2 linked regions of the Yarrowia lipolytica genome follow. The protein of the gene in region 1 purifies or fractionates together with the protein of each later gene. This does not show direct contact. Links are inferred from orthologs where the notes say so. Each region holds a gene or a part of one and is shown on either strand. Other genes may lie near its edges.

The links.
Region 2: the proteins of YALI1_C20180g (region 1) and YALI1_F05624g purify together in Saccharomyces cerevisiae (affinity purification with mass spectrometry; 4 studies listed by BioGRID, with this or other methods). This does not show direct contact. The link is inferred for Yarrowia lipolytica from reciprocal best matches to the Saccharomyces cerevisiae genes PCF11 and YSH1.

The regions. Positions count from the first base shown.
Region 1 is NC_090772.1:2,015,920-2,020,519, forward strand, and holds YALI1_C20180g (uncharacterized protein), read right to left. Parts: upstream 2,689-4,600; coding exon 2,530-2,688; intron 2,094-2,529; coding exon 627-2,093; downstream 1-626. Other genes in the region: YALI1_C20198g (uncharacterized protein), read left to right, coding at 3,947-4,004. UniProt on the Saccharomyces cerevisiae protein: Component of the cleavage factor IA (CFIA) complex, which is involved in the endonucleolytic cleavage during polyadenylation-dependent pre-mRNA 3'-end formation and cooperates with cleavage factor NAB4/CFIB and the cleavage and polyadenylation factor (CPF) complex.
Region 2 is NC_090775.1:559,473-565,179, forward strand, and holds YALI1_F05624g (uncharacterized protein), read right to left. Parts: upstream 3,678-5,707; coding exon 3,588-3,677; intron 2,990-3,587; coding exon 596-2,989; downstream 1-595. Other genes in the region: YALI1_F05661g (uncharacterized protein), read right to left, coding at 4,989-5,707. UniProt on the Saccharomyces cerevisiae protein: Component of the cleavage and polyadenylation factor (CPF) complex, which plays a key role in polyadenylation-dependent pre-mRNA 3'-end formation and cooperates with cleavage factors including the CFIA complex and NAB4/CFIB. Has endonuclease activity.

The sequences.
Region 1 (4,600 bases):
AATCGTCATTTCCAACTCCGAGAAACAGAGAACATAGCAGTCTGCCTCGAGAAAGAGAAAGACAGATGCAAGTCAACGGAGATGCTGTAATTAACTCCCTTAGCAACCATCAACGGACACCCTAGCGATATAAAGAGCTCAGATTTAGTCTCCTCCACGATTTTTCAGTTCCACTAGACCCAAGAAAGAAAAGTCTGAAAAGAGAGAGAACAGTCATTGTCTGATTATCTAGATGACCAATGGCTACAAGTACAATTACTTGTTTATTGATTTGTAATTGTCGCAAACAGGACCAGTGGCTTGCTCAGAAATCTCAACAGGCTTCCGGAACGCCATGGGCTTCGTCCTTGTTGTCCGTCTTACTCGAAATGTACAGGATTATCTGGCCAGTTGGCTGTATCTACTTGTTGACCTACTTGTACTTGTACACTAGTGCCACTTCATTTGTTATCATACGGATAGATACCCGCACGTTTTATTATTTAATATCTAGTATCAAAGAATGCGATTGTGTGTCAGAAAAGGTCTGGATCTTCTGACTGTTTCTGTTTCTGTTTCTGTTGATGGCGCTGGCGGTTCTTCTGCAGCCAGGGCCTGATCAGGGAGGGTGAGAGATGTTGCTCGGATTAGTAGTCGAGCTCCACCTTCTCCCTCTTTGTCCTTCCTTCTCTATCTTCTCCTCTCCTCTTTCTCACCAGGCTCTCTGCCAGCTTTCCACTCTCAGCATAACATGTGGCATGGAAGATCTTATCTCCAACCTGAACCGCGTCTGTCCACACCCAGTCCTCAGCTTCATCACTGAGTTCCGTGTTGAAGCCTCCTGTGCAAATGGGACAAACCTGCTTCTTCTTAGAAGCACTGCTGGGAGCCAGAACCCATTGTTTCTTGACACTTTCCATGTCCACCTTTTGCACCTTTTCTTCTTTTTCCTCCTTTTGCTCTCCTGCCACCCACAAATGCTCGGCCAGGTACCACCGTCTGTTCTGAGCTCGTCCCTCGTCCTGGCGCATCTTCTTATTGATTCGGAAATGCCAGTCCATGTGCTGCATACGGGCATGGTCCTGATTATCTCGGAACCGCCGCCCACAAATGTTGCACACCTTGGGCATCTTGCCGTAAAGGTTGAATACCAGATTGGGGCGAGGCTTCAGCAGAGAAGACGTAGAAAGTTCCACGTCGTTAGACTCCAAGGAAGACAGCAAAGAAGAGGCACCAGAGGCCAACAGAGAGTTAATGTCCGGTGCAGGAACAGTACCAAGGTTAGGAAACATGGGAAAAGGCATACCAGGCATAGGCATGGGTGGAACAGGCATACCAGGCATAGCCGGCATTCCAGGCATTCCAGGCATACCAGGCATTCCAGGCATTCCACCAGGTATACCTCCTGCTAACAAGCCAGCGGCTTGTAGGGAAGCTAGCAAGTTGCTTGGTGTCGTCTGCTGCTGTTGCTGCTGCTGCTGCTGCTGCTGCTGCTTTAGTCGCTCGTTTTCTTCGTATTCAGCAAGCTTCTTCTCCTCATGGGCTAGAGAAGAGGCCAATTGAGCCTCAATATTGGACAGGTACGACACAGGAATGGCCTGGGACTGAAGAACGGCCTGTAGCTGTTTGAGGACAGGAATCCGTTCCTTGGCATCGACGTCGCCTGGAATATGTTGTAGACGGTCAGAAGTCATGTCGATCACGTGGCTGCACTTCTCCAGCAGCTGGGGTTGTGTCAGGCCCGCATTGGGCACTCCGAAACCTCCTTGGCCGAGAACTGGAGTGCCTAGAGGTGGAGTAGCGGGGTTGGGGGTGCCCAGGTTGGGGGTTGCGGGGTTTGGCGTGGCCCGTGATGTGACTTCGTTGATTCGTTCCAGAAAAGAGGCAATCTTTCGCATGGGTTCTGCTGGGAACAGCATGCCGCCTGTGGCCGACGTTTTCCAGGTGCCGTACAGCTCGATCAGTTTTCGTCGGATCGATTCGGGAACTTGGGTGTATGTGTCGGCAAAAGTGCGGTACAAGTTGATACCGAAGCAGGTTGTGTATGGTGCTCCTACGTTCTTGCAGATGGAGTCGAGCAGGTACATTGCTGGCAGCTTGTACTCTGGAGCGCACTGGGTTAGTATGTAGAGATAGATATAGGCGGCGGTGGCATATGGAAAAGATTATTGATGTGTCGTCATTCGCAGTATGATCTCTCGTCAGTCACTAATCACATCGTTGTCTCGAAGACATAACGACAGCCTGGAGATACAAACTCCATCACACGAGTTGGACCAAGCCAATCGATGGATCAGAGGTTGTATACATGTGCCACGTTGCAAAATCAATCGTCAACCTGTCCCAAGCTTCATGTTAACGCCACCCATAACCACAGTCGCAGCACATGATCACCAACATGACACCATACGCCTTATTAAACACCGTCACTGGGATAGAGCAAGAGTCGGCGTACCGTGTGGCCGGCACCGGTGTTTTCAGGTCGCTCTGTGTCCTTTGATCTCGTCCTTGTCGTCGGCATCTCCTCATTGTGGTTCCTCCGCTACTCACCTTACTTATTCGCTCCTCAATGGCTCGGGTAATGGCCTTGGCAGCGTGTCTGTTTTCCTCGGCAATCACCGTGAGGTTGGTGATGATGGGCTTCTGGACCCCCGTCAGCTCCTCCAGAGCGTACAGGTAGTCCTCTCGAATCTCATCCAGCTCGGACATTACATATATAGTGTCGCTGACGTTGATACTACGAGGAGGAAAGAGTCTTGCAGATGGATGCACGGCCTGAAAAAACTTTAATATTTAGTCATGTGACCAGCAAAGTTGCAAGAGTGCTGACTTATCAACCACGGTGCGAATTGAACGGCGAATTGCAGGAACAAAAGAAAAAAGCCATCCATCAAACTTGCGCTCCCATTTCCACTTCTCCCCTAACCCTTTATATATCTACAATGTACTGTACGTGCTGTTTGTACTTGTCCTCCAACTTTTAGTGTATGGCTCTTGTCTGGTGGCATTTTTTTTTAATTTTTTTTAATTTTTTTTAATTTTTTAATTTTATTTTTTCAAGTTTTGCTCTCTCTCCAGTTCGATTCCTGCTCTTTTTATTTTTATTTTTATTTTATTTTTATTTTTTATTTTATTTATTTTTAATTTTTACCAACTACAAGTGTTATCGTACGTTCGATTCTGACGTAGACCATTAAAGTTCGTGGAGATTAGCTCTCCGGAAATGAGCCGAGGTAGCACGAGGCGGAATTATGGATGGGATATGCGATGGCCGCGAGCCCGTAATGTCCACAATCAATTGTCGCTCACAAAAAGACCCGCTTTATCACCGCATTTCTCCGAAATTGGCCCTTGTTGGCGCGGAAAACCCCGACCGTTGGCTTCTCCACCTTTCTCACGTTGAGCAACTATTGTAGTTGAAACTTTAACCAACGTTATCAGATTTTAGTTGCCGAAACTGGCCAACCAGGAGGCGGCAAAAGCCACCACAACAGCCCTTGCAGCGCCCATGGCACACGCGCCTCTGCTATCTTTGCGCGGTTGGGCGCTATCCGGATAATTAGGCGGGGGTCCGCGTTTTGGCCGAGCGTCGGAAACTTTCGGATCTCGCACGGTAATTGTCGGGTGATAGACAGGGCCAGTATGACCAGCATCGCAGTTGGTGAGCAGCACAACAGGTCCGTCGAGCGCCGTCACGGAGGCGTTTGTGGCCTATCCCGAGCAATCCGGGGACGGTGGGCCACGTGACTCCCTCCCCTCCCCCTGCGCACACAAGACACACCCTGGTTTGAGCGCTGATACTTTGGCTGTTGGTTCCCAATCGCTGCCCCTCTGGAGAAACTTCGGAGCTGCATCCTGACTCACTTTGGAATTTTTGTCTTGGTGAAAAACCCAAACTGTATATCAGTGTCTGCTTTCCCTCCACACCTTTTGCACTTCTCCAGTCTCCATCGCTACCGTCCAACAAATGGCTCCTATTTCGTCCGATAAGAAGCAGTCTGGTGCTGCCCGAGTTCTCGGTTCTGGTGAGTATTGAATGTGGGTGTGGGCGCCTGGACCCCTGAAAACGACGGGCTCTCAGCCGGTCGCTTGGGATGCGCGCCGGTGTCGGCCTTTTTTCGGTCACCATGGCACCACCGCAGACCCATGTGGCATGTGAATATGACCACAAAAAGGTCGCGAGGAGGGATTGAAAAATAACAGAACCAGGGCGCCAAACACACCCCGTCTTTTTATCAGCGGCCGGCGATGATATGTTTCTGTTCCTTGCTTCTGGAAACACGCCCTTGTGTCTCTTCAGCCGTGTGCGCTCTTGTGTTGGGTGATATATGGGAAAAGGTGGTGGCGCTTGTGGGGTTCCCGTGGTTGATTTCAAGACACTTTGACGAGGTTGCACTCTGCCCAGCGACCGCACCTCTCAGTGACCCTGATTACGTTGATCGTATTGTCGTACGGCTGGGTTCAGGGAACCAATCAACTAGAGCGTTAATAAGCAAGTTTGATAGGAAGTAGACTGGCCCGGAAGAGTGTGAATTCACCCGTGGAGCTCCTACCGGATCATTCAGGGGTCCAGATCAACTGATTGACCGGTTTCAAACACCATTCTTCCATCGCTACACTC
Region 2 (5,707 bases), on another chromosome or scaffold:
ATAGTTGAGTAAAAAAGTGTGCTGGGGGTCCTTATCAGTCGAACCAGACAAGCAAATACAAAACAGACTACATCAGTTGATTTGAAAGAAGTACTTTACCTATTAAAAACCCAGTTACAGAAATACTTACTGCTCTTCTGGTGTGATATATTCATTCTTTGGTTGCTTCTCAAGTAAATCCAGTTGAACTTATACTTAAGTTTGTCTAACCCACTAGTTATGGATGTCCGTTCTCTAATGCACTCATAACTCGCTCAATATCAGAACCAGCGAAAACCAAGAAGGTCTGAAAAGATTCAAAGAGTCAGGGGAACAATTTTGGTACCATTTTCGTCCATTTTCTTCTCGAGATTTTTGTTCCAAAGAAAGGTCTTGTCGTGAAAGAACTCACTAAAAGAGATTTAGATCCATCCCTTGGCTGGTCCGGTGATGTGGGGAAGGGTTAAACTGGACTGGCCGGTTAGTCTGAGAGGTGGGACTGAGGAGATTGGTCCGAGGGGTTTTGCAGAGACTGGTGGCAGTCCTGTTTCTTTGCATCATCTACGAACGCTTCATATTACAGTCTGTATATTGGGTACATCAAACTCGATACTATTTACTCCTCCTCCTTGACTTTCTCCTCCGCCTTGACTTTCTCTTCATCTTCTGCCTTCACCTCCCCATTCTCTTCCCTATCCTTGACATTCTCAATGGCCTTGAAACCTTCAACCAGGTCCACGGCCGACAGCTTCTGAGCCAGAGGAGCGACGAGCGAAATGGCCCGATCGACAGCCACCTGGACTCTCTGAACAAGAGGAGGAGGTGAGCCGGTCACAGACAAATCAGAGAAGGAAATCGTGGCTTCCATGGCGTCGATCTTGATGTTGGCCGACTTGCCATCCTCAGAAACAATGTACGAGTCTCCAAACTGAGCTTTCAGAATCGAAGACAGCTGCAGAACTCGTTCGTCGAGAGAGGAGTTTGAGTGGCCGTCTTCATGGCCATGAGAATGGGCACATTGCTTGGAAGACATCTTCACCGACGCTCTGGAGTTGTCCACTGTCAGCAAAATGGCCAGAACAGCGTCGGCAATGGAGTCGTTGAGACAGGAACCCACCCATTCAATGGTGCAACTTGTGGGAGTGTGTTTCACTGTGACCGAGTTCATCACGACGAATGTGGTTCCCGCAGAAGTGTCGGAATCACCCTCAACCTCTTGTTTGAACTCCTCCGCAACCTCCTCCTCCTTCTTGACCTCCTCCGCGGTCTCATCCTTGACTTCACCCTCCATGGTCACATCTTCTACCTCCTGTTTCACCTCCTTGTCCTCCTCCTCCTCAGCCACGTCGTCCTCCATCTCCTCAATCTTAACGTTCTCCGTCTCTCTCATTTCCACGTATCCAAACATCTGTTCGAGATGGTACTTGACCAGATCCACTCCTGCGTTGACCGTCACAGTCTGTCGCTCCAGAACGGAAGAGGTTGACAGTCCAACGTGTTCTCTCAGGTCAGCAACGCCCATGAGTCCGTAATTGAAGTCTTTCTGCACAACCACTCCAGAAATTATTTGACCAACATGCGGCTTTTCCTCGGCCATTTTGCCAACCGTCTTGGCCACCTTCACGCCCTTGAACGCGAGCTCGACTTCTTCGCAATTTCGAGGATTGTAAATGGTCTTCTCTCTAGGACTGTTCTTCAGGCCTCGATACTTGGCCAAAAGAGCAGCCTTGAGACGCTGCATGTTGTTGAGCTCACCGTGGACCAGAATGATGTTTTTGGAATCCACGAGATCGATGAACTCAGAGTTTTGCTGGAAATCCACGTGGGCAGCAAACGAGAGCTCCTCCACCGCCAAACGTCGCGGAACCTTCAGGTCCGGATTCTGAGCTGAGGGGATCTCATTAGGCTCGTTGATAATCTGTTTCGCCATAGTTCCTTCAACCGAGTAACCCGTCAAAATGAGCGTGTTTTTCGGGTCAGGTGCCCATCTCTCCAACAGAGACCTCGAAACACCGCTCTGCAACATTCCAGGAGACGCCACCATCACACAGGGACCCATGTCGTCGAAACGGTCCAAATTCTTTATGTTTTTGATATACTTGAACCGGAACGGGTTTGTTTTCTGGTCTCGGAAACGTCTTCTGATGTTGTCGTTCATCATGTTGATGTAAGTCTGGTAAACAGCGATACACTTTTTGGCCAGAGCAGAGGCGTAGTAGATGGAGAACTCCTGGAGGTCAGGGTGGGCTTCCCAGTACTCATCGAGAATGAGAAGAATCTCCTGGGCTCGTCCAAGAGCAAATACTGGTAACAAACACTTTCCGCCCTTGTCTAGTGTGCTGTGAATCAGTCCCGTCAGTCTCTGCTCACGTTCTAGACGCGGCAAGTGAGTTCCGGTGCCGTATGTGCTTTCACAAATGAGAATGTCTGGTTTCATGGGCGGCACCTCGGCCTGGTTCAAGTGACGGTCCTCTTCTCGAGAGTAATCGCCGGTGAACAGCACCTTGACGCCACCGACTTCTATCGTGTACATGGCTGCTCCGAGCACGTGACCGGCATGGTACGCTGTGAACTTGACTCCGTTAACCTCCATGGTGGAGTGGTAGTCGATGGTTTCAATTTTGTTGAACGAGGCGGTGAGGTCGGCCTCCGAGTAGAGATCTGGGTCCGATTCGGCTCCAGAGGTGACTCGCACAAAATCGGACAAGAGCCATCTGTAAATACCCTTGGTGGGATGGGTCATGAATACCCGGCCCTTGAAGTTGGTCTTCTGCATCACATAAGGGAGAGAAGCAGCGTGGTCCAGGTGGAAATGTGAAATGAGAAGAATGTCAATGGTTGAGAGATCGAACTCGTCGTAGAAAGGCAGGGAGGCGAGGCCGGAATGGGCAGGATGCACGCCGGCATCGAGCATGATAGTCTTGCCTTTGAACGAGATGACGTGACATGATCGGCCAACTTCTCGGCCACCTCCGAGCGCCACGAATGAAAATGTGTCGGAGTCGTCGGTCTGGGTTAGCGGGAACTGAAAAGAGGAGCCGTGAGTCTGGCCCTGACAAATATTTGATATATCGTAGACAAATGAGATCCCAAAGAGCCGTAGTCGGATTCAGCACTGGCAATTCAGTCAGTACCAACAGAAGAAATCTTGAGCGATCAATAACTTGACAGTGGCTACTGCAGATTTGGTGGTCGCCTGTGGATTGCTGTAGGCAGAACGTCTAGTCTGACATGCTGACAATTATCGACAAGATGTAGGGGATTTTTAGGCGACTTGACAATGACAATAACGCAGAAGTGGTGAATTGGGCGGTCAGCATGGAAGAGTACTAGACACACCCTCATACGGGGGAGCAACCGCTGGGAGATGGGTCAGTCTAACAGAGAAGAAAACGCCGCAGTATTGTGAACAGAGAGCACGGAACTGCTTTTCACGAGTGTAGGGGGGATCGTGGCTATTCAAGTGACACAGACTGAATGGTACAAACAACCAAGAACCATAAAATCGCCACACAAACAGCCTCGGCGTCTCAGTACATGAGCTGACCTTTCTGAGCACGAGGTCTGCCCACGAGTAGAAAGTGGCCCGCGAGTAGCAAGTGACTCACAAGTAGAAAGTTGCCCACGAGTAGAAAGTGACCCACGAGTAGAAAGTGACCCACTCTGAAGCACATGATCTGCCCACTCCACCGCGCCATCCTCCACCTGCTATCGTCTACACCTGGACGGTACTGCACGTTAAGTCACCATACCTCCGTCCCCATGAGACAGGCTGTAGTCAGTGTCAGACTGCAGATCACATGATTGGTCACGTGACCTGGTCCCCTGCCGCTCTCTCTCTCTCTCTCTCTCTCTCTCTCTCTCTCTCTCTCTCTCCTCTCTCTCCTTCTCTCTCTCTCTCTCTCTCTCTCTCTCTCTCTGCCAGTCCATCCATCCATTCATCGCTAGTCATCCACTCAAGTCTACGGCGGCGGCCTGTACCGCCATTTCCTCCGTCCGTGGTCATATCTCTCTGCGAATTGTCGCATTTCGTCGCGCTGGGCTCCACGTGGTTGGCTCCAACCGTCCAACCATCACGTGACTTCAAATACTCACCTGCGATTCGCGTTTTTCAGCCATGATCCGAGTTTCAACTGGTTGTTCTGTTTGGTGGTTACACACTGTTTTCGAAATGTTCACAACTTAATGTAGTCTCGCAGATGAACTTTATTTGGCTGGAGGAGACAGGACAGATGGGGGCCCAAAAGGGATTATAGAGATTTTTCAGAGATGGGGAATTGTCTGTGGGTTTATTATAGCCCTGTTTTGATCTGTTTTATGTTTTTCGGTTTCTTATTTGGTCAACTTCCAACAGTTAATGTTTTATAGCTATATCTCTGCCAATAATAAACATAATAGTCCCCTAATTGCACCATTGTCTTCTTGAGATTCCCAGGAGTAATTTGATACCAAAATTGTTTATGAAGAATTTCAATCACCAACATTTAGATCCCTCATTCATCTGAACTCAGCACGAAATAGATCGACCCGACGCAACGCAACATCACCATAATTAAAAACTTGGGCAAGGTAATTTCCGAGCCGCACGGCTAGGGGTGGTGTTTCGAACTCGCTGAAAAAAGGACCAATATGAACGACTTTAGAATCAGCGTGTACTCCAGGGCCGCTGAATCTTTTCAGTCCAAAAAACCCACCTGTTGTGATAATAAATTCTCCATTTCTGGACACCCCAACATGTTTGACGGAGGACATTCGCCGTTATAAGATGATATACGTGATTTATCACATTGATGGCTCGCTCCACAACACTCTACAGTACCCATCCAATCCAAATAATTCAACTATACACAATATTAATGCTCTGTGAGTTCCTCTTCACAGATTTCTCTAGCAGGGAGGAAACAAAAGACTGTCTCACACAGTGGGGCACATTGCCCAAAGACAGCGCTGCGCTCCTCGTGCTAGCTCACCAAGACTCGTTACTCGTCTTGGCCGTCTAGGCTCTTTGCTTAGATGCCGAGACCCATACTTCTCGCCATGGCCTTCATCTGAGGATTGTTCTGTACCATGTTCATCATCTGGCCCATGTCAGGCATTCCTCCAGGGAACATGCCCTGCAGAGCACTCATGTCAGGCATACCACCTCCCATACCGGGCATTCCACCCATTCCGGGCATACCGCCCATTCCAGGCATTCCTCCCATGCCGGGCATTCCTCCGGCTCCTCCGCCCATCATCTGCTGGGCCCGTCTTTGAGCTGCAGCCATCTGGGCAGGGTTGTTCTGGGCGTTCTGCATTCGTGACATCATGCCGTTCTTGCCGCCCATTCGCGACGCCATGGAGGCCATCATCTTCTGCTGCTGAAGCACCTCCTCGACTTCCCGGATGGAGGTTCCCGAGCCCCGGGCAACTCGTGTGATACGAGAAGGCACCTCCTTGAAAATGGATCCATCCGAATCCAGCTCCTTCTGGTTCATAGAGTCGAGAATGTAGATCATTCGCTTGATTCGACGGGTACCCTCTTCGTCGGAAATGGAAGACGCCATGCCCGAGAGTCCCGGAATCATGCCAGCAATGGAGGACAACGATCCCATCTTGAGCATGTTGCCCATCTGGTCTCTGAGATCCGCCAGTGTGAAAATACCCTCCTGAATGTGCTCCATGGTTTTCTTCTGGTCGAGATTCAGACTCTGCATCGTCTCCATGAGACCTTGGAGGTCGCCGATAC